Drosophila melanogaster: one gene and its partners. The protein of the gene in region 4 purifies or fractionates together with the protein of the main gene of each other region. This does not show direct contact. Each region holds a gene or a part of one and is shown on either strand. Other genes may lie near its edges.

What was found.
Region 1: the proteins of Glyp (region 4) and CG5506 purify together in Drosophila melanogaster (affinity purification with mass spectrometry, with the first as the bait; one large-scale study listed by BioGRID). This does not show direct contact.
Region 2: the proteins of Glyp (region 4) and Pglym78 purify together in Drosophila melanogaster (affinity purification with mass spectrometry, with the first as the bait; one large-scale study listed by BioGRID). This does not show direct contact.
Region 3: the proteins of Glyp (region 4) and CG32473 purify together in Drosophila melanogaster (affinity purification with mass spectrometry, with the first as the bait; one large-scale study listed by BioGRID). This does not show direct contact.

What each region holds. Positions count from the first base shown.
Region 1 is NT_037436.4:17,882,431-17,886,878, forward strand, and holds CG5506 (uncharacterized protein), read right to left. Parts: upstream 1,947-4,448; 5' UTR 1,916-1,946; coding exon 1,849-1,915; intron 1,782-1,848; coding exon 1,306-1,781; 3' UTR 1,219-1,305; downstream 1-1,218. Other genes in the region: CG7408 (uncharacterized protein), read left to right, coding at 1-183; CG16775 (uncharacterized protein), read right to left, coding at 3,636-4,211.
Region 2 is NT_033777.3:29,145,618-29,150,934, forward strand, and holds Pglym78 (phosphoglyceromutase 78), read left to right. Parts: upstream 1-2,630; 5' UTR 2,631-2,832; coding exon 2,833-2,935; intron 2,936-3,391; coding exon 3,392-3,889; intron 3,890-3,951; coding exon 3,952-4,118; 3' UTR 4,119-4,284; downstream 4,285-5,317. Other genes in the region: CG14511 (uncharacterized protein), read right to left, coding at 216-1,184; CG11882 (uncharacterized protein), read right to left, coding at 1,576-2,263, 2,334-2,437; eIF2D (eukaryotic translation initiation factor 2D), read right to left, coding at 4,323-5,317.
Region 3 is NT_033777.3:13,302,371-13,308,843, reverse strand, and holds the start of CG32473 (uncharacterized protein), read right to left. Parts: upstream 4,081-6,473; 5' UTR 3,774-4,080; intron 349-3,773; 5' UTR 256-348; coding exon 1-255. Other genes in the region: CG43208 (uncharacterized protein), read right to left, coding at 5,093-5,286, 5,352-5,379.
Region 4 is NT_033779.5:2,128,735-2,137,796, reverse strand, and holds Glyp (glycogen phosphorylase), read right to left. Parts: upstream 6,985-9,062; 5' UTR 6,786-6,984; coding exon 6,543-6,785; intron 3,359-6,542; coding exon 2,830-3,358; intron 2,760-2,829; coding exon 1,153-2,759; intron 1,067-1,152; coding exon 911-1,066; 3' UTR 501-910; downstream 1-500. Other genes in the region: tho2, read left to right, coding at 3-128; CG4259 (uncharacterized protein), read left to right, coding at 8,590-8,664, 8,727-9,062.

The DNA of each region.
Region 1 (4,448 bases), on a different chromosome or scaffold from region 4:
TTTGCCAAACAGGCACATCCTCCCAATAACAAGCCGGGGGATCCCAATTGCGATCCACGATTTTACCATAATGAGTGGACTTGGTGGCAGGACGAGAAGGCTTCCAGTTCAGGGACTATCGGGGTAATGAAAGTCTTTACCCTGTTAGTGGTATTCATCTTCACGAGCAGTTGTATTAATTAAATGAAAATTCTTATGTAGGTTAAATATTTAATGATCTTGTTAGCAAAGTTGGCATGTATTCAAAAAATTAATAAAAACTTCGTCTAAGGAAAATAGACAATTTTATATTTTATTATTTAACCAATTGGCTTGTGGCCGTAACTCATAGTAAACCGATAGCTTTTCTGCAACAAATGCGATAATTTATGACTTCAATTCTACCTATCAATAACCATTTCTGAGTACTGTCCAATTTGATCCGGTGTCAAAAGGCCAATCTCCCTTTTTATCTAATCGATTACTTCTGCGAAAACTGATAGTTGCAAAACCCCCTTCAAATTAAATTAAAGCACAGCCAAATAGCTTTCTGCCAATCAAAGTGGCTTACATAGTATTTAACCAAAATAGTTTACGACACTGAAATCAAGGCAAGATCTTTGGTTACAGATTAAATACCATAATCAATCAACTGTTCTATCTATCAAAAAAGACATTATGGACTTACTTTGTTCGTCAAAATGAACTAAGAGTAAAAAAAACGTACGAAAGTTAAAACCTTTAAAATGTATATACATTTTCTTGTCCATAGCAGCATGTAGAACAGAAAATTACGATGAGTTCATAATAAAATATGAATTTAAAAGAAATTTCGAGTTAAGAAATAGTTGTCCTTCCAAAAAGGCATTTTTAAAAAATTACCAATCTCAATTTTCGCTTTAGGCATAAAGTTTTATTTTAATGGCAGTTTTATTTTTATTTTATTTTAATTTTTCTATAAATGTCATGGAATATAAATATGATATAAAAATTGTTGGGGACGAATTAATAATTTTGATGTGAAAGGAGACGTCTTTCTTTGCCAGAAATATGAATGTATTAAGAAATTTGTGAAAAACATCATCTGCCTGAGAATCATATTTTATAAAACTAGTCTGTTTATAAAAATTAAGTGTTTCAAAGTCAATCCATTTACTGAACTATATATGTTAATAAGATTTGATGCATATCAAAAAATTGAATAAGTGCGATTCCGTGAATTACAAAATAAATATAATTACTTGAAATAAATTATGTTTTATTTATTTTTTAAGGGAGCCGGGATATCAAAGGAACTTAATTCAGACAAAGATCTAGTAGTAGAATTTAGTAGTATGTTCCATTGCCTTTAGGCTGGGCCACCAGAACTTCATATTTGTCGAACTTTCGCAGGGCCAAGCTCTCGTGCTTGATGATGCACACCTTCTGGCTGCTAAGGAGCAGGGTGCCGATTAGGATGCCTCCATCGGTCTTAGCACGGCAGCAGAACACCCGCTCATTTTTGACCGTCGTGCCCACGGCAACGGCTCCCTTTTCATAGAATCCATCGAAGCTCCTGACCCACACGTAATTTACATCCCGCTCAGCCACTAGGATGTCGTAGACGAGGAGCTTCGAGGATGTGGTTTCCGTATTGAAGTAAGCAGTACCAGTTTCCGCAACAACTCGAGCCGGCAGGATGCTATTGGAGTACTTAACACGACCAACATAGGTGGTAAATCCGTAGGGATCGAAGCCACCCACAACGGCATTATAGGGAATAACGTAGGACAGGTTACCAGCCTTCCACACGTGCTCGGTATCTGTTCGAAATGGCTATGTTAATTGGATTCAGTTAACCCTCTATATTATATTATTATTGGTTCTCACCATAAGTCGAGGGAACCGCGTAGGCAACTGCAAACAGGGCCAAAACTACACAGACAAGTTTGTACATCTTGACGGACTGCTGGATTCACTTTGAGTGTCTGGCCAGTGACTTAACTGCTTTTATAGTCGTCTTCTTATCTTTCGACTCCAATTACACTTATCGCTATCAAAAGATTGGTATTGATAGCATCTGTTTCGGTGACTAACGCATCGTTGTTTTATTGCACCCTTTCAAAGTAAGAGAAATTTAAAGAAAAAATCCCCCTAAGTCATTTCATAATATTGAGCTATAACTTAGTTGTTAAACATAAAATGATTTAAAATATATTTAATTAGGAACTTTAATATATTTATTTTGTTGTTTGTTCATACAATGAGCAACTAAAAACTTTTGTTTTAAAACCAATATTAGTAAAGAGCATAGCCATCGAAATATCCCTCTCGTTTGAATCAAAAAAAAGTTTGTATGCTCTTCAAGTTGGTCAAAATTAGTCTGATATAAATAAACTAAAAATTATAAGTTTTACTTTAATATATTTTGAATAAAACAATATTAGAGAACAATTTTTTTTAATTTCCCATGACATACAGGTTTTACAAGACGAAAGATCGTGTCATACAATCAACATTTTCCCCTATGGAATATCTTATATCGCACTTCTTTAATATATAATAAAATTTTAAGTTGGTATATATTTCAATTAGCTTAGTGAAATATTCATGTAATTTCCTTTCCTTATATAAAAATCAAAGTTGTCATCTTATCTAACATGATAAATCAATTAAGAACGCAAAAGACTATTTTCTGATAAAGAGTTATAGATTTTATTTGCTTGCATTCAGTATACATACAATGTATTTACAGAGCGAATGGCATGAACGAAGCCACTTGGCGTTGCCTGATCAGTATCTCGTACTTGTATTACTCGTACTCGTATTTGAGAATGCACCCTCTTTTCGAAGGCTACAGCGTTTCTATGAAGACGCCTTCAGCGCAAAGTTAGCCTCGTCCGTGTTGAAGTGGGCCCTAACCAATTCCGGGACCATTCGGGCAGGCAGGACATTATTGAGGACATTATAGTACACACGGCCGACGTAGTTCATGTAGCCAGCACTGCTTCGTCCAGCAGATCCTTCGTCCTGTCGGCAAGGATCTATTTGTCTTCACTGCTATATACTGCTCCCCTGATAAGGGTCACCAAATGAACTAGGACTACGGCCACAATTATCAAGCCCTTGTAGCAGTACATTCTTGAACTGTTGACTAGGAAGATATCTTGAAGTGACTAGAATCTGCAAGTCTGATATCAACTTTCTAGCTTTTATAGTTCCCGAGATTACCATGTTCATACAGACAAACGTACGGACAGTCGGATATGGCTTGAATGACCCGTCTAGTGATCCTGATCGAAACTATATATACTTTGTTGGGTTGAAAAAGCTTCCATCCACTTGTTATATCATTGTCAATCAATCAAAATCAAGTAAATGCGTTTACTCTACGAGTATAATTAAGTAATTAATTTAACAAAGGAATAAATAGTTACAGTTACAAAAAAATTGAAAATAGGAATTCACATAATTTCTTCTTTGGATTTATCAAAAACTTAAACACAGTTATTCTGTTTTTCTACCTCTTTTAAATTAAGAAAAAAGAATAGGAAACTTTGCTTTTATATTAATTATTTTTATTAATTCAAAGTCATTAAATAAATTGAAAGGAATTGTTTTTTTTTAATAAATATTTTGTATTTATATTTTATTCTATTTATTTTGTTGCTCAGCATTTAATGGTGGATATAACCATCAACAAATGGCGAGACGGCAGCTACATGGCGTTCGCGGACAAGGATCTCGTACTTGTCGAACTGCCGGAGCGGAAAGTTGTCGTACTTGACGATGCACATCCGCTTGGAAAGGTACAGAGTGCCGATAAAGATGGATTCATCACAGCGGACACGACAGATGAAGACACGCTCGCTGAGGGCGTTGGTTCCCACAGATACGGCGTTCTTTTCCCGGAAACCATCGAAACTACGGATCCAATGGTAGCCGACAGTGGCGTTGGACACCAGAACCTCGTAGGTGGTGGCTTGGTTGCCCAAGGTGTCGGTGTTGTAGGTGGCCTTTCCCAGCTCCGGTACCACTCGGGCTGGCAGAATGTTACTGCTGTATGTGACACGACCCACGTAGGTGTAGTAACCATCGGGATCGACGCCACCGAGAATCGCTTCCTCTGGAAGGTCCAGGGTCTTGTCCAGGTACACCCACTTGTCCTCATAGCTGTAGACTCCTCCGTGGATTTGAGCCACCATCTGGACGAGGACTACGGCCACAATTGCAGAACTCTTGGCTGAGAACATGATTCGATTGTTGAGAGGCGGGGTGTTGTGGACATTTCGAGCTGCTAACATCTTTTATAGGTCTTTCTTATCTATAGATTGATAGTAAATCATTCTTCGAGGAGTAACTTTGTGATTAGATTGTTAGTAACTTTTTTAGATCGGTGATTAACAATTAAAGTTCTGTGGTCAGTTACAGGGAAGATCTTTAAACTTTTGCAAAACCCCCGCTAAAAAATTTCCCCTAAAAATAGACCG
Region 2 (5,317 bases), on a different chromosome or scaffold from region 4:
CAATTCAGAGTCGCCAAAGAGAGAAAGCCCTTGGCAGATCGTCCAGAGCATCACGTTTTTCATTACTTTTAATGTATGCCTTCTTTTCATAACAATTATGAGTCTTGTAATTTTAATTTGTACTTAAATGTAATTGTAAATGTAAATGGAATTATAACATTGTTCGTCACAAAAAAGTTTTGGAAAGCCTATTCCTGTTTCACAGCCTGGTTTTTTCATTTCGGAACTCTGATCACATTTGCAAACATCAAGGTGCCCACAAAGACTAGCGCGGTGCCCAGCCAGTGCCACCAGGTGAAGGGATTTCGGAAGTATACGATCGAAAAGACCAGCGAGATGAACTTGCGGAGTGTGAGGATCAGAGTCACCGTCAGCGAGCTGCACTCCGTGGTCAGGGTGTAAACGGAGCTGATGCACAAATGCTGCGCAAGCACGTTGCCCAATAAGTATAGCAGGATTAGGGGCACTGCCACGCCCAGGAGGGGCAACTGGTAGGACTCGCCCGTGAACGCCAAAAGCCAGTGCGTCCGTATGTCGTCATGCATGAGCAGGAAGGCGGGCAGCGGCAACAGGTGGGTGTAATACAACGCTTCCCTGGCGCACTTGCCATGACGTCGATACAGCAACTCCTGTGTAATTCCCATGTAGGAGGAAACAAATAGAGCCAGCACCAAGAGTGCCACGCCCAACAGCCACCAGAACGTATCCGCCTCGGCGCCACTATCCAAATTCTCCATCTTACCCACCAAATCCGGACTGGAGAAATATGTGCAGACGAAAATGCCCACGCTGATCATGAGCACCGATATGTACTGACTCAACCGGTAACTCCTCTTCAGGATCAACGTGCACAGGCACATGTTGGAGATCAGCGAACCGCCGCGTATGATCATGTGCAGTGTCATTGGAACTTTGAACTTGAACACGTAGTTGTTGCATACGCTGGTCAGGAAAAACATGGCCACGAGGAGCGCATAGTCGCGCAGGCTGATCACTCTCTGGGCCAGGCCAAACTTCGAGGTGAAGATGAAGCCCTCGAGGGCAATAAATGCAAACTGGGCGCCAGTTATAAGGTTTCCAGCGCCGGGATCCAGTTTAACCAGGAGCTCCAAGAAGACGACGCCACTGCAGCAGCCCAAGAAAACGCCGCAGATGGCCGAAATAGCGCGGATGGATAAATTCATGAACTCGCGCAACGAAAGTAGACGATTCCCACCAACTTTAACCTACGATCTGGGCCATGACGAGCTTTTAAGCCAACTTACTTTCTCTTCGGCCATACAAAACGTAAACAAATGCAACAGGTGGTTATCGATAAAGTTCGGTTCGGGCACAGCTGATGTTGGTCTATCGAAAGTGGTTGAAATTCAAATATTCCAAGCGAAAAAGAAAAAATTTATGATTTTAAGAGAAGAATATTTTATTTAATGTACATTACATTCAAAACCAAACTTAAATATGTTGCCTAATCACATTCGAAATATTCGCACCAACAGTCTTTTACAACAATTACAAAATACAATGATGACAATGCTAAGAAAGAAATTACAGATTAGCAAATTAATGGTATATTACTTATTTTTCCTTTTCCAGCAAGGCAATAATTTTGTTTAACTTTTCCGTCTGCTGGGCCTCGAAGTTGTCCAGTCTCTTAGACACTAACAGCGTCAGCTTCTCAAATCTCATGTCGATGTGCTCCTTGAGGATTGCAACATCGGTGGAAGGCGGTGCAGTCTCTTGGGTTTGGTCCTTCGCCTGCGGGGAATAGCCCTTCATCAGGCTCATGAACTGCTCGAACTTTTCGGCCTGCTCCTCCTTCTTCAAGGGACTCGTGCCACCCCTTTGCAGCAGCTCTTGGATTCGCTGCGCATCCATTGGCCTGGGCAACTGGGTGGTTATGCCGTTGGGATTCGGCGCCACCTGGAGCAGGGCTCCGTAAACGCAGATCTCGCTGGCCGAGGTGAGCATCTTCAGGTTTATGTCATTTATCCCGGATCGGTCGATTTCCATGTCATAGCGATAGGGTCGCACCGCAACCTCTGGGTCCTCATCGTCGACGCAAGTGCCGTAGATGGTCTCGCAGTACTCCTGCAAGGGTCCAATGAACAGCTCCACCTTGGGAGCGCTGCAAATCAGGGTGAGCGCGGCGATTTTGAAGCGGTTCGGGATCTGGAAGCGCAGCTCACAAGGCGGCGGCGGATCCGCCGACTGCATGGAAAACAGCACGGCGCGATTCTCGTCGATCACGTCGTCCAAGTCGGGCCTGCGGACAAAGGAGGTTTCAAAATTACTTGATAAAAACCAGTTTCGGGGCGTGGAATCCTTTGTCTCACTTCACAAAGACGTCTTCGTCGGACAAGCGGGTGGCCACCAGTTGGTCCAGCCCGTTGCCCGACAGCTGGGGCCAAGTGCAGCGCGCGGTGACCTTTTCGCACATGCTTTAAGTGACAAAAAGTTGGAATTTATGGGAGCAAAATTTAAAAACAGCCAAATTTAAAAACCAAAACACGAATATAGTGATGACAAACGCGAGCGATAACATCTGCGCGGGGGATGCCAACCTGTTGCACAGCGCAAACTAATTGGACATTTGAAGGTAGCTTGACGCGCTATTCCAATAAGACCATACTCCGGAGTCCAATCAGAGAAGGCACCGCATCTGCGCACTACGTTTTTCCAACAGAACGGCAATATCGCGGCCTGACAGCTGCGACCTTGGACGGCTCCCTTGTAGGTCAAACTTCAGCAGAATTCCCACATATTGCAGTCGCAGCAAGGCGGCAGCTTAAGAACGAGTACACAATTATCCGCAGAGTGATCAACGCAGCTAAAATGGGCGGCAAGTACAAGATCGTGATGGTGCGCCACGGCGAGTCCGAGTGGAACCAGAAGAATCAGTTCTGCGGCTGGTACGACGCCAACCTCAGCGAAAAGGGTGAGTGATTACATCAATTTGAAATTTAAACCTCATATGTGGGATTAAAAATCTGATGTACATCTAGTTTCCAATCGATGATCCTTTGCTTTGATCAGTTTCACAATAGTATTCCTTTTCATTTACCCAAATTAATCTTCATTGACCTAGTGCAACATTATCTCATTCAAACTTTTCTGTGATAAAAATAGGTCTCTACAAACAAAAGCTTTCCAGTGCAATTTTCAGAAGCATCAAAATTCTAGTTTGTTACACTTTAAAGTCAAAAATTTGCCATCTCATATGTTTCTAAAGTTCAGATTATGCTTATGAGCATAATTTGATAGGTTATCGCCTTTTTTTAACCCTAGTAATCAAATTAAATTAAACGCATGCCTTTCAATTAGATTAAATTGGCTTACGTTCGTTACCCAACACGGCGTATACTTAATGTTCGCTAAACATTTGCCCAAACAGGTCAGGAGGAGGCCCTAGCCGCCGGCAAGGCCGTCAAGGATGCCGGCCTGGAGTTCGATGTGGCCCACACCTCGGTGCTGACCCGCGCCCAGGTGACGCTGGCCAGCATCCTGAAGGCCAGTGGCCACAAGGAGATCCCCATCCAGAAGACTTGGCGCCTGAACGAGCGCCACTACGGTGGACTCACTGGCCTGAACAAGGCCGAGACCGCCGCCAAGTACGGCGAGGCCCAGGTGCAGATCTGGCGTCGCAGCTTCGACACCCCGCCACCACCGATGGAGCCGGGCCATCCGTACTACGAGAACATCGTCAAGGATCCCCGCTACGCCGAGGGTCCCAAGCCCGAGGAGTTCCCCCAGTTCGAGTCCCTCAAGCTGACCATCGAACGCACACTGCCCTACTGGAACGACGTCATCATTCCCCAGATGAAGGAGGGCAAGCGCATCCTGATCGCTGCCCACGGCAACAGCCTCCGTGGCATCGTCAAGCATTTAGACAGTGAGCATGGGAGACATAACATATATCATATCATCTTTTTACCATATCCTTGTCCAATCCAGACCTTTCTGAGGACGCCATCATGGCCCTAAATCTGCCCACGGGCATTCCGTTCGTCTACGAGCTGGACGAGAACTTCAAGCCGGTGGTGTCCATGCAGTTCCTCGGCGACGAGGAGACCGTGAAGAAGGCCATCGAGGCTGTGGCCGCCCAGGGCAAGGCCAAGTAAGCACGCAGGCCACACCTCATGAGAATCCACTCAAATACGGCACAAGTCAGAGCATTCTGATTACGCTTCTGTTCAAGATGTAGCCAATCCCATTCGTTGTTGTTGTTCGCGTAGCAGTAATTGGTTCATCCCCACTACAGTTAATAAATAATTTATTATTACACTCAAGAGGACAGGCGGAGGAGGCTTCATTTATTGTCCGGCTCACTTCTTCTTATTCTTCTTGCCGTCCTTGGCCAATTCCAGGCCCAGGATGCACTTGGGCGGCACCTTGTACGTTTCCGTGAGCAGCGTGTGCACAAATCGCACCTGGTTGCCCTGGATTTGCAGCTGCTCGTGCTTTTGGTGCGGCAGTTTCACCACACTGGTGCTGGCGGCGGCTCCCTGCTTGCACAGCTTGATGAACTCGGCCAGGATGATGCCGTACGCCTCGATGTTGCTGACCAGCGTCACCTTCTTGTTGCCCGATCGCGTGGCCAGGGACATCTGGATGAGGGGCTTCCCGCTCGTATCTTTGCCGCTGCACATCTGGTAGGAGTGCTCCATCTTGCTGGTGATGAGGGAGCACATCTCGCTTAGCGAAACCTCTCTGTTACCATACAGCTCGATCAGAGTGTCGTCGGGGCGCACCAGCTTGGTCAGCGGATGGAGGAGACCATGTTTGCTCACGTACTCCCGCACAATCTTCTTGATCTGACCCGCCGGGATTCCCTCGCCGCGCTTGTAATTCAGCTTGGTGAAGAAGGCCGCCGTAACATCGGTCACTATGTACATCTCCTTCAGCTCGGAGTGGAACAGGGGCGTCTCGGACGCCGCTCCATTAGCTTCGCTTGCCTTGACATCGGTTATAAAGTTCACCACTTCGGGGTGCTCCAGGTCCACAGATGTGATTTTATCCACTCCCTTGCTCTCCTCCCGCACCACAATGAATCCTTGGTCCACCATCTCGGCCAGAAAGTTGGAGAGCTTTTTGTAGCGCGTCTTCTTCAGGTCGATTTGCTCCGTGGCCTCCGTGACCACATAGAGTCTGTAGAAATTGCTCGTCAGCAGAGGCAGGGGCAGCTTCTTTCCATGGTTTTTCAAGGCGGAGAGGAAGGCATTCTTGAGTATAAGTTCTGGTGAGGCTTCCTCCACGGCTTCTTCGTCGGACTCGGGAGCTTCCTGGCTTTCCAAGGTCAGAGCAGCAGTTTCCGTTTCCA
Region 3 (6,473 bases), on a different chromosome or scaffold from region 4:
GCGGATGGTGGAGTTCAAGGCCCACTGGGAAGCATTCGCGTGCTGCTGCCTCTGGTGCTCCTCGGCTATATTCTTGCCGACGTAGACGAGGGCGCCCAGCAGGAAGCCGCAGAGGACTAGCAGAAAGACGCAGAATGCGGCGAGGGTCAGGATCGTGTTGCTGCGGGCCTTGTGGGGCCGATTGGTGTCCTTGATCCGGTGATTGTCGTCTGTGGAGAGACTGCTGCGCGGGCGTACGTTTTTCGCTGCATACATGACTTTTAGTTTCTTTCCTTCTTAATTGTACTATTTTTTTGCTGTTTCTAGTCCTATATTACTGGGCTCGGTGCGTTCAACAACAGTAAATCACTGGAAAACATTATTAAATGTCACGATCGGTAAGCTTCACTCTAACAGTAGTTTTTTCGGCCAACTATGGGGCTGTCCCACAACGCCATAACTTCATACAATCTATTGTGTCATCGGCGGGGTAATTCGAGAGCATCATAAAAGTCGCGTACTGAATTACATGCGTCTCCGCTGCCATCATCAGTTTTTTCTGTTTTAATAATCTCCGAGCTGCTTATAAACAAACCCGGGCTTATGGACCCGGCTTTTATGGAGGTGCCAGGTGAAGGAGGCGGGGCAGCACAGCTTCCGTCACATTTCACTCTATCTCCAGGTGGAGATTGCCTCAATTTCGACTCGCTGCAGATCAATCAGATGCCTGTTATTTTTGTCCCCCAGTCCCCTCCAACGGTCACGTAATGAAGTTGGTCATTTTGTGAAATTGTTACTACAAATACTCGAAGCCATTTTTTAGTTTGGTTTATAAAGTTGGTGTTGGAACTGGGCTGGCTAACCGCAAGAGTTGCAATTCGAATCCCCGGGTTTGTTGCAATGATACGACTTTCTATGGAGGCGTCTCTACACAATAACGCTAAGAAATTCAGTAGCATACAATACTTTTATAACATCTCAATTTTATGTCTCTCTAGATAGTCAATGATGATTACTTAATAGCATTTTTTTAATCATAGTGTATAGTTTTTCTCGCTGTGTACGATTGATTGACGGATCACAAAAGGTTGTTGGCTTTTTGCCTGTCAATTTACGGAGTCTGTTGCACAAATCTCCGCAGGTTGTGCGATGGCAAGAAATTACAGATGCCATTATTAGCATTGGAAATGAATTGAGTTGCCCGCAGAGTCATGATCCACGGCTTGCTTTTCGAAAATGATGTCAGGATATAGGAGTATTAAGCCAAAAAAAAAAGAACAATACGCGATGCAGCTGAAGTATCACACGGATCACCATTCACTCGGAATTGTGCGAATTGAGGAATTCGAGGCTGCAGAATATGCTAATTTTCACCAGCCGGCAGGCAATTGTCTCTGATACACATGGTATAATACGTATACGCCCCCTTGCATCTTCCGCGGATGATGTAATGCTGACTCAATTAGGGAGCGCACATCGCACAAAGCCACCGCACATCGGAGTCAACAAAATTGCATGACTACCACCTTATGAGCGCCGGAAAAAAAGCAACCAGAAGATCTGCAGACAATGGTTGGTATATACATATGTACCATATGAGTTCATATATCTCCGACTTCCAACAGCCAATCGGACACGCCCCATTGCACAGATGTGAATATCTCGGCATTCTGAAGCCGATGAAGCGATGATCGCGGGGGCACAAGCCATAACATAACAGTTCTCATACTTCGCTAATGAGTCGCATAAATTTCACTACTTTGTAGATCGAGTCGAAAGCACACAGAAAAAAAAAACTAATGCGCAATACAGCAGCTTAAAAAGGAATTAATCTAAACATTATTTGATATAAGAAACGTGGATCATTTCTTATGCTAAACAGTAACAATTTGTGTTGTCAGATAAATTCAGATTCAGATCATTCAGATAAATATCCCTGTTTGTCACTCCATTATATGTTTGTTTACTTCAGAGCAGAGATGCTTTTAAATTTTGGAATTCGAAACTGAAAGCTTACATTTGAAACACGTTCTTCGGGCTTTTTAAGGTCATAACTTTCACAATAAACACAAAGTTATACGTGACAAGTGCGCCCCAGAAACACCCAAAAACTCAAAGTGAATCCCAGACATGGAAGAAATACTACCCATAACACCCGCGGTGGGATGAAATTGACAATGGTCGACTATACGTGCCTGCAATTTATGATATACACAAAGGGAAAATTCAAATAAAAACAATAAATAAAAGGAAGATGCGTTGACAAAGAAATGATTGCCACAATTTGCATGTTTGGGGTTAACGGAATGCGAAATAAATTTACTATTAATCAATGGGTTGCATCACTTTCAACACAAATAAACTATAAAATCGGAGAGGAAACTTCGGCCTTGACTTGCTTAATTTAATGCTATAGATTTCATGATATACACTTTATAAATAACTTCAATATTGGAAAATAGGAAACTCGAAACCATGCGATATTTACAAATATTTATGTAAGCTTTATCAACAGTTCATTGAAATATAAATAAATAAATATTTTATAAATAGAAGATCAATGAAATTGTTTATATTTCAGCATGTAGATCAATGAACTTCAAGGTGTTAAATTGTATAATTTACACACCGCCAAAGGTGTCAAGTGCCTTATCAATTCTGCCAACAACAGCCGTTAATTTACATTATTAGCACAAAAATCCAATTAAAAAGCCCTCCACTTTCGAAGGTTCTTTCCCACCGTTTGGAAATAAAAAAATTTCTATTTCGCCCAAGAAGAACGAAAAAGAAATCAGTGTCAATGAAAATGAAAAAAAGGTTTGACCACCGAGCTTTGACTGAACTTTCAAGAACAAAACAAACCCAGGAAACACAGCGAGAAACGGGTAGGGGAAGCTACTATGACAACAAGTTTCTTGGCAGTCAATGATGTCGACCCATTTTGTTGCGGCTTTTTGAAGAAAGTATTTTCTCAGCGGCCATTGAGTATTTGCCGCATTGAAGATGTAAACACGACGCATTTGCTGGCCAACAACCACAGATACACAGCAAAAAAAATCATAAGCAAATGATTACCAACAAAATCGAAGATACAAATTGAAGATCTAATGAAGAAGTAAAATGTCTAATTGCCGTAATTGTATTTATATATACAATTTATAATATTGATAATATTGATAATTAAAAAAACTGTGATATTAATTTTTCTTATAATCAGATTGGTAACAATTGTTGATAAATGTCAAAGAATGCAACTACGAACAGAATCTACTTCTCGTTGATAAGAGACATACCAATATAATCTGATAATGGGCTACGATAGATATAATTCTTTTCTTTTTTTTTTTGCTGTGCATCGATTGTGGCCGATTTAAGGCCAAGAACTTGCGCGGCAAGTGAACTATGTATGCATTTGGCTCCAAGCCTGTTTGCAGCGGTCCCAAAGGGGTGTGGGAAAGAAGGAGGGGAGGGGAAGGGAGCGGTGCAACCTGTTTGATTCAGCCATGTGGAGTTCTCTTGGCCAGCCTGCGATGGCCCGTTGTTTATCGAAACGAATACCCGTTGAAAGTCAAAGTTGGCATAGAATCCGGTGGTCACATTTCAGCGAATATTAAAAATAGTGATCGCCTCAATGCGCCCAATTAAAACTAGAATTTTGATCGCATAACGGCGATGCGGTGACAATGGTCATTTTGTATTGGCGTGGAGCTTTTGGAGCGGACTCAACGGTATCTGATTGATATGGGCCACTTATTATCTATTATTCCCGTCACATTTCGCACTATGCCTTTTACTTGATTTACAGTTGAAATCACAGCTTTTCGTGTCTCGTTTTTCGTTTTTCTTTTGTCTACGAATGGCATTAATTGTAACTTTGCCGGGTCCGAGGAATATTCACTCGGCTAATTTGATAACGGCAATTGCCGGACAGCTATCATTCTTGATTCAAATCGTAGGCGCGCACTCGAGAAATCCGAGAAAACGAAGAAAAGCGAAAAGAAAGGGGAATCGCGAGAATCGTAATTGAGATCGTATTTGCAGACGGAGTCCGCTCTTTTCTATCGCGACCGTCGCGCTCTGCTCTGAACTTCCGACTGAAGCGGGCTCCAAAGTTGTCACGGCACTCGAGCTTCTCCGGAAAGCTCTCTCATCAGCTGAGACCGGCTTTTTTATGGCCCCAACATGCGATGATCTCCAATGCATTGGGGGTATTCACAAGTGTGCTTGCAATCGTACTAGTTGCGGACAGTGCACTAGATACGATCTTAGCTACATAAATAGTACGATATAATAAAGATACCTGACATCTTAGTCTAGACATGCTAACAAAATGTTTGTCATCGCAAGATATACCTTAAAATTACTCACCTATCTACTCCATCGGCATTCGTGTAGTTGCTGATGTAGCTGCCCACCAGACTGCTCAGATCGCAGTCGAAACTTGCGGACAGTGTGTAGGCCTTGTTCATACTGAGGACCTCTCTTAGCGTGATCAGGAGCAGCTCCCGGGACTCATCCAAGTTGATGCTATCGATGGCCACGCGTATGCGCGCCATCATGTTCAGGATGCTGATGCTGTGCACATTGAGCTCCTTGGCGTGCAGGACGATCAGGTTGGTGATCGCGTTCAGCTGGAACTGAATGGACACGGTTCCCTCACAGGCGCCGGTCGTCAAGTCGGGATGGTAGTACACCTTGTACTTGATGGGCGTCAGTTCCGTGGGCAGGCGCCATTCGATCTGCGGGGTCGTAAAGTTTATTTAATATCCACGCCATCGATAATGGGCTTTGGCCCTATTAAGTGAGCAATGCGTTGATAAGGTGGCGATAGGAAATAGCACTGTTGTGGTCAGGTCGTAAACCAAGTGGACGTCGTTGCAACAAATATGCCTTAGCTGGATATAGTGGCTAAATGTTGTGAAATTAGGGTCCTAATTTATTAGGTGCAATTTCAGATATCAAACAACAATAGCTCTACTACACAAATATTGAAACCTAAGCGTATTTTGGTTTCTTATCCGTTTGCCTTTATTGCTTTATTGCTTTAACCATTTTTGGAAATAGATATGGATTTGAAAGCCATCTTTTTGAATGTTTGCCAGCACCCTAATTCTTATGAATTTCTTTCCGAAATGGTGGACAACAAGTGGCTTTGAATGTATTCCTCCAGAACATCCAACATCCTTTTGGCTTCGTCCAACTGCAGCAATAAATTATCCCTGTGGACGGCCACAATGACAAGGGCAACGATCAAGCAGGTCGATAATAGACCAAAGAATATAGCCACGCGCTCAGCGGTGATCAAGTCTATGAAAATATACATGAATCGGTATCGGTGTTTTCCCAAAACTTCCTTCGTTATCAATAAATACCCTTAATCCTGTCCTGCATGTGTCCCATTTTTGTGGCTCCTAACACTGCGTTAGCCGCAATTAAACTAACTTAAAAGACCCAAGAAATTAGACCCGTTTTGTATTATGATAAAAAAGAGGAAAAAAAACGCTAGCCAAGCGATAAGCACTTGAAATGACCAGTAAGACTAAGTTGGAACTTAATAAATTCGAAATTAGTAGCCATGCCGACTTTACGTCTAATCGCTGAAAATTTTCCCACTCTGTGTGAGGGTTTTTCTGAACTAACATCTTTTATAGCCGTGAAATATATTTTTCTTGCACTTCACTCACCTTTTCAGGATCAGGAAGTCCTGTCGGCAATGTCGGATAGATGGGATTGGTGGTGCTTCCTGTACTGGATGATGGCGAAGTTTCACCACCCGGAGATGTTCCTGCACTGGGGGTTGTGTCACCTCCTACGCCAGGTGTGGTGGTAGAGCCAGGCTCGGTGTCATCCGTGGGCCCATTGGGATTTGCAGTGGTGGTGGTCGTGGAAGTGCTGGTAGAGGTGGAGGACGTGGACGTGGTGTCCACCGTCAATGCGTCGATCTTATCGAGGGCATCCTGCAGATCGTTCTCCAGGTCCGCATTCTGAACGGCCAGCACAATCGTGGCCACACAAAAAGCAGTAGAGGCCAGGCCCAAAAAGATGGCCACTGACTTAACCGTCAGCCCTAAAATGAGTTCACATTAGTTACTGTTCCTTCGGGATATGCTACTCTATATAGAAGACTCACAGGCAACCATTTTTAGGGATATTCTTTTTTCGATGAAAATTACTCGACTGCTTCCACTAGGCTGGAAGCCAAATTGGAAACTGAATGCAAGTTGCGAATCTGACCCCACAATTTGGACTTGATAAACCTGATCAGATTGCTGACCGATATCTAGACTATATACTATATAGCTTCGTGTCCAGATAAAATCGTTTTATGCTAGACCATTACTTTTACGATTCGAACAAGGCCATATATCGACTATTATGACTGGACACTCTAATTACTCAGGATAATTACGCATGGTCATGATTCCGCATTGACCATATACTCAAAGACCCTATCTCCAATTATTTCCTAGAAGCTATAGAAATCCCCACTTGCC
Region 4 (9,062 bases):
AGGAGAAGTCACCGCGGGAGCGATCACATGAAAAGTTCGATAGAGAAAGAGGAGGAGCCAGCGGTTCGCGGGCCGAGGAGCGGCAGTACATCAGCAAGTCCGCTCGGTCCTCCAGAGTCAACTATTGATTGCACTCCGGGCTTTTGCTTGCCCGTTCCGTGCATTGTGAAGCGCATTTTGTTTAACTTTTAAAGAATTTGGAATGGCCTTTCCATCCATTGTAGCAAAGAACGAAACTACTTTTGAAATGTTTACAAGTTTTAGTGACTATTTTAAAACAGAGATCCAAACAATTACATTGTAAAAATGACTACATTTTTGTGTTGTTTACTAAACGGGAACTGTAATAGCCATAATATTTGTATAAAAAGTTCATTCCCCAAATAGATGTTCAGATTGTCTTTAAAACAAATAATAAATTGTTCATTTGCAATGAGATTAAGATGTAAACCCTTCGTGTTATTTATTTATCACCCAAGCGACAGTGAAACACCAGCTTTCTATTTCGAATCAAATTTTATTCAATTTAAATTATTTTTACATTTAACAGTTGAACTTGAGGTTTAATCTCGATTTAAAACACGCATATCAGATATCTAAACAAGCTTGCCACTAACGTTTTTTACAACTCTTTCCATTATTTTAAATAGACTTTTCTTTTACTTTGAAAGTGTTCCTGAGGTCTTTTTAGGTAGGTACCGTTGTTGATTCGATTCGATTCGATTCCACAGTGATGAGAGAACTAGGCGAATTGTTTATCTTGATTTTTATTAAATAAAATATTAACAATTCGGTGCTGTGGCCCGTGTTCACTTCATTTGTTTTAGTTGTTGCTTTTGGCGCCTAAACTTGAACTTTGACTTTAGCAAAAGTAAAGCACATAAATAATAAAATAATATCAAAAATTGATTTAGTTCTGTGGCTGATCCTCCGGCGCTGGCAGCTTCTCCCAGGTGGGCTCCACTCCCCAAATCTCGCGGGCGTACTCGGCGATGGTGCGATCCGACGAGAATTTGCCGCTGGACGCAATGTTGTTGATGGACATCTCCAGCCACTTGGCTTGGTTCTGCAAATTAGGCAAAAGTATCGTGGTTTAAATAATGATCTTTGCTACTTATTTTTCTAATACATAGTTAAGCTATCGAATCTCACCTGGTAGGTCTTGGAGACCAGATCCTGGGCCTTGATGTACGCATCGTAGTCGGCCAGCAAGTAGTAGTGGTCGTACTTAAGCAGAATGTCGGCAATGTTCTTGAACTCGTTGGGATTGCCGGGGCTGAAGAATCCGCCCTGGATTTGGTCAATCACCTGCTTGACCTCGGGGTTGGCGTTGTAGTAGTCGTAGGCATTGTAGCCCTTCTTCTTGAGCGCCTCCACCTCGTCGACGGTCATGCCGAAGATAAAGATGTTGTCCAGACCCATCTCCTCGGCCATCTCAACGTTGGCACCGTCCAGGGTGCCGATGGTGAGGGCGCCGTTAAGCTGGAACTTCATGTTGCCGGTACCAGAGGCCTCTGTGCCGGCGGTCGAGATCTGCTCGGACAGATCGGCGGCGGGCATAATCTTCTCGGCCAGGGTGACACGGTAGTTCTCCAGGAAGATAACCTTGAGCTTATCGCCCACAATGGGATCGTTGTTCACAACGTTGCCCACGGCGCAGATGAGCTTGATGATCTGCTTGGCCACATAGTAGCCCGGAGCAGCCTTGCCTCCGATCATGATTGTCCTCGGGGTGAAGTTGGCTGTGGGATCCTTCTTGATCCTGTTGTACAGGGTGATGATGTGCAGGCAGTTCAGCAGCTGGCGCTTGTACTCGTGAATACGTTTCACCTGAATGTCGAACATGGAAGAGGGGTTGATCTTAACGCCGTAGTCCTTCTCCAGAATGGCGGCCAGCTTCAGCTTGTTCTCCTGCTTGACGCGGGCTACATTGCGCTGGAAGTTGGGGTCCTTTGCCCACTTCTTCAGAGCAACCAGTTGGTCCAGATGCACTGGCCACTCGTCGCCGATCTTCTCGGCGATCAGGTCGGAGAGTCCGGGATTGCAGAGCAGCAACCAACGACGCGGGGTAATACCGTTCGTCTTGTTCTGGAACTTCTGGGGCTCCATTTCGTAGAAGTCATGGAACAGCGAGTCCTTTAGGATCTGCGAGTGGATGGCGGCCACACCGTTGACGGCGTGGGAGCCGACGATGGACAGATGAGCCATGTTGATGCGCTTCTCGCCATCCTCCTCCACCATCGACATGCGGCGCATGCGGTCCAAATCGTCGGGGAACTTCTTCTTCACATTCTCCATGTGCAGGAAGTTGATGTGATAGATGATTTGCAGATGGCGGGGCAGGATCGACTCCAGCAGGGAGACGGGCCAGCGCTCCAGGGCCTCTGGGAGCACGGTGTGGTTGGTGTACGCGCAACTCCTGACGGTGATGTCCCATGCCTTCTCCCAGGTCAGATGCTCCTCATCGACCAGGATGCGCATCAGCTCAGGGATGGCCAGCGATGGATGGGTATCGTTCAGCTGAATGGCCACCTTGTCGGGGAAGTGATCGAAGGTGTTGCGGACCGCCTCCCGGGATCCGAACTTCGAGGCCTTGTAGCGGCGGATGATATCCTGCAGCGTGGCGGCGCACATGAAGTATTCCTGCTTCAGACGCAGCTCCTTGCCCTCGAAGAAGTTGTCGTTGGGGTACAGGACACGTGAGATGTTCTCAGCCAGATTGCGGTCCAGCACGGCCTGGATGTAGTCACCATCGTTGACTGGATAGGTGAAGATAGCCATAGGTTAGTTCTTGCCTTATCAAGGGGACCTCTCCTTATAGATACTTACAGAACTTGAGGTTGAAGTCGATGGGCGACTTGGCGGACCACAGACGCAGCGTGTTTACGTGGTTGTTGTTGTATCCGGGAATGGGGTTGTCGTAGGGCATGGCAAACACCCTTTGGGTGTCCACCCACTTCTTGCCCTCGGGCGTGTCGATCACACGGCCGTAGAAGTTGACCGGCAGCATGAACTCCGGACGAGCCTTCTCCCAGGGATTGCCATAACGCAGCCAATCATCGGGCTCCTCCACCTGCTCGCCGTTCTTGATCTTCTGGGCGAAGATACCGTACTCATAACGGATGCCATAGCCATAGGCGGCCAGACCCAGAGTGGCCATCGAGTCGAGGAAACAGGCGGCCAAACGACCCAGACCACCATTGCCCAGACCGGCGTCCTCCTCCATCTCCTCCAGGTTCTCGATATCCAGACCCAACTGGTACATGGCCTCCTCGCACTCGCTCTGGATTCCCAGGTTGATCATGGTGTTGGTCAGTGAGCGACCCATGTAGTACTCCAGCGACAGATAGTAGACGCGCTAAAAAAATACAGGGGTCGTTATTAGATCTATTGTATCCATGATTAATTAGCAACTATATTGGAAGATCGAAATGTCATAAGATTATTTCATGAGTTGGATTCAGATTTCGTGCATTTCCGCAGTGCATGGGTCACTCACACCAGGTTCAGCTGTACAGTGCATACAATAACTATAATACAACGAAAGCCTGATAAGAGGGGCGCCGACTGCGGCTGAAAGACCTAGTTATGTTTGGCCAGAAGGTCAACCAGTTTCCAACTTTTACGGTTCCCAACGGAATACTCGCTTATCAGCGAAAAATCGCACGGTAATTTCAGGGCAACCCAACTGGAAACTATAAATAGAGGAAGGCATTCACTATCACCGGTTCGATTCAGTGCGAATCTATCGATCGATGTTACGAGGGCATTAATTGGGTTTATAGCAACGCTATCAAGCGATTGCAGGCTGCACTTTGCATGCTGGGCAAACATCATGGCTAAGCATGAATCTATACAGCTTGGAATGGCGATTATTATCACCAGCCAATGCTGGGCTAATCATGGATCGATCACGGATCAGCAATCACCAATCAGCATTGACGACAACATCGCCCACAGTGTCGCCAGTCAGTAGCTAATGGCTCCCAGGGTATGCTAATCCTATCCCTTATCAGTCAACCTACCTATGTAATCTATGCCCTAAAACGCATACCTATCGCACATGATGCTTTCAGATGTCTGATGCTATGCGATCCGGGAAAAAAACTATAGCTAATTAGTTCGGAATGTTTGGAGAGCTTGTTTTTGTGTGCATATTTGTAGGTGAAAGGGGTTAAGGCGCCTATATAGAATCGGGGACTTTCGATTAGGAATATTTTGCAGTCCATTTAGCAGATAAGATATACAGAATTAGGTGAACATGGAGTATGAACTGATTCGGGCAATATGTGCTGGGCAATGGAAATGCTGTGATAAAACACATTATTGTTTATATCTATATAGGTATACCAAAATATGAACTATAAAAGTAGGTATTTTCTTAGTTATGAAATATGAGGTGCACTCAGTAAATACTGAGTTGGAAAAAATCCAAATATTAAAACCAATTCTAAGCATGATCTTCTTTGCTGCAGAAAAAAAAAGAAGCTAATAACCTATTTAGCTTATCTAATCGAAGATAAGAGCTTCACAACAAAACGTGAGTAATCTTCCAGATCCATAAAAAGCTTTTGGAGTCATTCAACTGCCGGCGCTAATGTTTTCCACAGCAGTTTGTTGTGTAGGGTCTTTGATATTCGTTCTGGCCAGTTCTACAGACGAATTAGATGCCAGACATATGTTTTTTGCGGTTTTGATAAAGAGCGCCTCACCAACAAACGACCAGTGTTTGTTTGCCTTTGTTTATTGGTTTTTTTTCCCTATATGCAATAAATAAATGACAGATGTGCATAGGAAGTTGGAAATGCAATAGGTAGTGGCGCCCTGGCATTGAATTTTTACATGATCGGTGATAGCTAAACGCTTTTAATTTGGTGATAAGTGGAACAGTATTTTCGAACTGCTTGTGGAAAACTACAGGGAAATAAACTCTTTTGTGTGACTATTCACCCCGCTGAACTTTCTTCAATTTGCATAAATTGGTTTAGAGACCGATGGACGCCAAGTTGTCTTCAATTAACTCTAAGTACCAATCCACGCACAACAACAGCTGTTTAAGTATCCATAAGATACAATCGTCGTCAGTTCATATATTTCTATTTAGATGGTTGCGTGAGCTAATTGCATGTGGGGGGACAACTAAACAAAATCGGGCCTATAAAAGTTCCACAACCTGAAAGAACTTATATATACATACGTACATATATATATATTTGAGAACGAACAAAAACCGAAATGGTAGCCAAAATAAAAATGAGAGAGGAAAAATGGGGGAAATTTTCCTTGATATTTTTGTCAGTTGGTTGTTGTTAATAACCTTTGATTGACCTTGAAAAAATGTGTGCCGACGCCGTGACGGTATCCACAATTTAGTTGAATTGAAAATATTTATCACCCAAAAGTGTATATAGCTCGAACTTCTAGTCGCCAAAATTGCTCGAGTCAATGGAAAATTAATAGATACATTTTGGTGGGCTTGAAATTGAAAGTGATTTAAGCTGACATTCAGCAAGGACAAAAATGTTTAGCAGCCGATGCTGACAAATTTGCAAATGGAAAGCTCACGCTTTGGGCACGTGTTTGGATACATGTACATATGTATGTATATACATATATTGTGTATCTGATGGATGTGGCTAAAAGGGGGCACTTATTATGCACCCTTGCCCTACTTAAACTGCATCGCCATGGCCCCAGGAAAACTTATTACTAAAAACTCATCAATATGTTTGGATAGAGCTACTTCTATAGTAGCTCGGCGACAGCTGCTAAATGCAGAGCTATTTTTAAGCTTTTGTTGCTTCGTCAGCTGGCGGGGAAAATTGTCAAGTGGGCGCGTAAAAAGGGGGTGGCTGATAAATTCGCCGGCTTTTTGCAGCACCTCTGCAATTTGTTGCAGTGAAAGTGTCACACCTTTTTTTGGCGCTACTTCTTTGGCATTGATCCCATTGCAGTCTTTGCTTTTTGGCAATTTCGCGAATAATTAAATGAAACGAAACAATTATGTAGTAGCAAAACAACGAAAGCGTGGGAAATGCAGTAAAAGCCGAAATTTCAAATAAACAGTGAGCATTCGGAAATTTTTAGAATTTTAGAAAATAAGGATTAAAATAGGATTATGAAATGTTGCATGGAATATTCATTTATAATAATAAAAGACATAGTGGAAATACTTGGGATAAAAGCAAAACTGCTTCAGTTATTTATGAATACGTTTATCGTTTCCCATTTAATTTTTAGTTTTTTTTTTGGCTGAGTGTTCACTGTAAATTCGTTGGCCAAAGCGCATCGGGGAATAAATCAGCAGCGAATAAAAGAGAATGGAGCAGGCCGAAAAAAATGTCGTAATAGCCAAAGAAATTTAGGAAAAAATATTTCAAAGGAAATTATTTCAAAAGTTTTGGTTGCCGCAGGAAGGGATAATCAGGCCTAAGAACTCCAGAGCCCGGATAAAGTTAGGTTAGGTGGTCCGACCACTTCTTTTTGGAAAATTCCACGGACTAAATCAATAAGTGGGTGGCCTGGATGGGCGCGGAACTCACCTTGGGATCCTTCTCGTAGTAGTGCTGCTGCGTGCGAATCCAGCGGCCCACCATGTTGTCCTTGACGGTGTTGGCCAGGGCGAAGTAGTAGTCCCTCAGGGTGGACACATTGCGATCCTTGACCAGGGTGTAGTGCAGGTGGCGATTGAAGTTCTTCTTCACTTCGGTGACATTGCCCACCTCGGCGATCCCGCGCACCGAGATCTGTTTGCGCCGATCGGCGTCGGATTGGGGCTTCGACATGGTGTCCTAGTTATGTATGTCCCTTCTCTGTGGCGGCTCTATATAGTTCTCTGATTCCGTTGCGTGGGTGCGCGTGTGTGTGTGGCGTAGACCCGTTTGCGTGTGCGACAGCGAAGAGGAGACGGAGACTATAGACACAACCCAGACCTGAACCTGAACAGACGACCGTTCGCAGCAAAATCCGGAGCGATTCTCACTTTATACTTTCGGCATACTTTCGGAGATAGCTTTTGCGCCAGAGCTTTTCTCTCAGCGTGCTGCTCCCCTTGTAAACAACTCCCAGCGCACAGTGGGTGCGCTGGGTATCAACTGCTACGAATTATCATCTAGGGGATATAATACAACAATATAGGTTGTTTTTTAACTATACAACTAAATATTAAATTTTCGATTTTTATATTAATCATTTAAGAATGAAAATTTTGTATATTTCAATAACAGATAATAACTTTTATCAGTATATTTTGACCATATCGCCCACTGTGCGTTGCTGATGCAGCGGTTCTTATCTCGCCGGTGCATTTTGCTGTCTCTCTCGCACTTTAGCTATGCTGTATTCCTGCACTGCTCCCTGTGCTCTCGCTCGCTCACTGCCTCTCTCTCACTGGCGCTCTCTTTTTGCCCCAGTCACCTTGTGCGAAGGTCATACATGCGTATTTGTTGTTTATTTTCTGTTTTTGTTTCATCTTGAGGCATTTGTATGCTTTGGAATAGAACGGGTGGCGCCCCCATGAATCGGGTTTGAGCTTTTTGAACCGACGGCTGTCAAATTGAAGCTTTTAACCATCTGTTGAGTGCGGAGAATCGTGGCGGGCTGGATATTGGAGATGCCAACTTGCTAGGAATTCAAACTTTACCAATCTTATGGATACTTTTGTATCTAAGAGATACTTTTAAAATCTGATGCTTTTGTATCTTACAGATATTTTGTGTTTTATATATCTCTTTGGGTACATTCGTATCTTGAGCTTTAAGATTTACGTACTGATATTCTAAAACAAGCGTTTTCAAAAATGTTGTCACAGAATTGATCTATTTAGAAAGCGCACTGAATATATGTGCTCTGCTGTGCCTCACTCGACTTGTGCAACAAATGCTAATCACAGGACAAAGGGCATCTGCAATTCTATCCGAACAATTCAGTTATTCCATTTCTTGTTTATTACTTCCCATAATGGCACTCCCATGTTCAACTACTTGGGAATGCATGCGGAAAAGTCCTTGAAAGGAGGGTAAAGGGGGGGGGTAACATTGCAAAGGACCAAGGCGCCGCTTGTTTCGTGAGCTCACCATTTGTTCGGCTATTTCGTAGCAAATGAAAATGATTAGCACATTTGGCAGGAGGAAAGTGAGAGCAAACCTTTTGGACATCTGCCAAGTGGGCTGCCATCGAAGTGAACGCCATCATTCATAAGCTTGTCTGCTAAAAATTTAAAACTTAATTGGAATCTGCTGCCTCATTCTGCCAACCGTGCGCTTGTTGACTCCTCGCACATATGTATGCGCTATTCAACTAGTTTTTGTTATGTTTTCTTTTCATTTTTTGTATTCAGCTGCGAGTATTATGAAAAAGTTACACTTAGGCGAAAGAAAAGTTCGCTGAGAGAAATTAGACTGCATTTGCTTGGATCGTTGTGAAATAATATAACGAATGCTGCGAATATTTTTTATAATACAAGTGATTTATCTCAAAATACTTTGTGGAATTCTTAAAACGACGCATTTTACTGATAAGCAGAGTGCTGAGTTCGCAGGGTAAGTTCTAAGTACTCGATTTCATTTTGATTCGAACACTCGTTGCGGAATGTCGCTATACTTTGCGTTTCTCACGACACTGATAATCAGCCTTGTGAATAGTCAATACTTTAACTACAATCAGGTTAGTTTATATAATACTTGTACATAGATATAAAAAATACTGAAATGGAAATACGCATGCAGATACGACGTGAAACATATGGCAGTAATCCCAGAGCGACATTTCCCTGGGTGGTTTCTGTGCTCGACCAGAGGGATTGGCTGTTTCGCTATATAGGAGTGGGATCTCTGATTAATCCAAATGTGGTCCTTACTGCCGCTCATATTCTGAATGGAACAACCAAGTATGATCTGGTGGTGCGAGCTGGCGAATGGGATACCTCGACTACGGCTGACCAGCAGCACGTGGATCTCGAGGTGCTGAATATAGTCTCCCATGAACAGTTCAACAGATTCAATGCCGAAAACAACATGGCGTTACTCATTCTGGTATCCGCATTTGAGATGACAGCCAACATT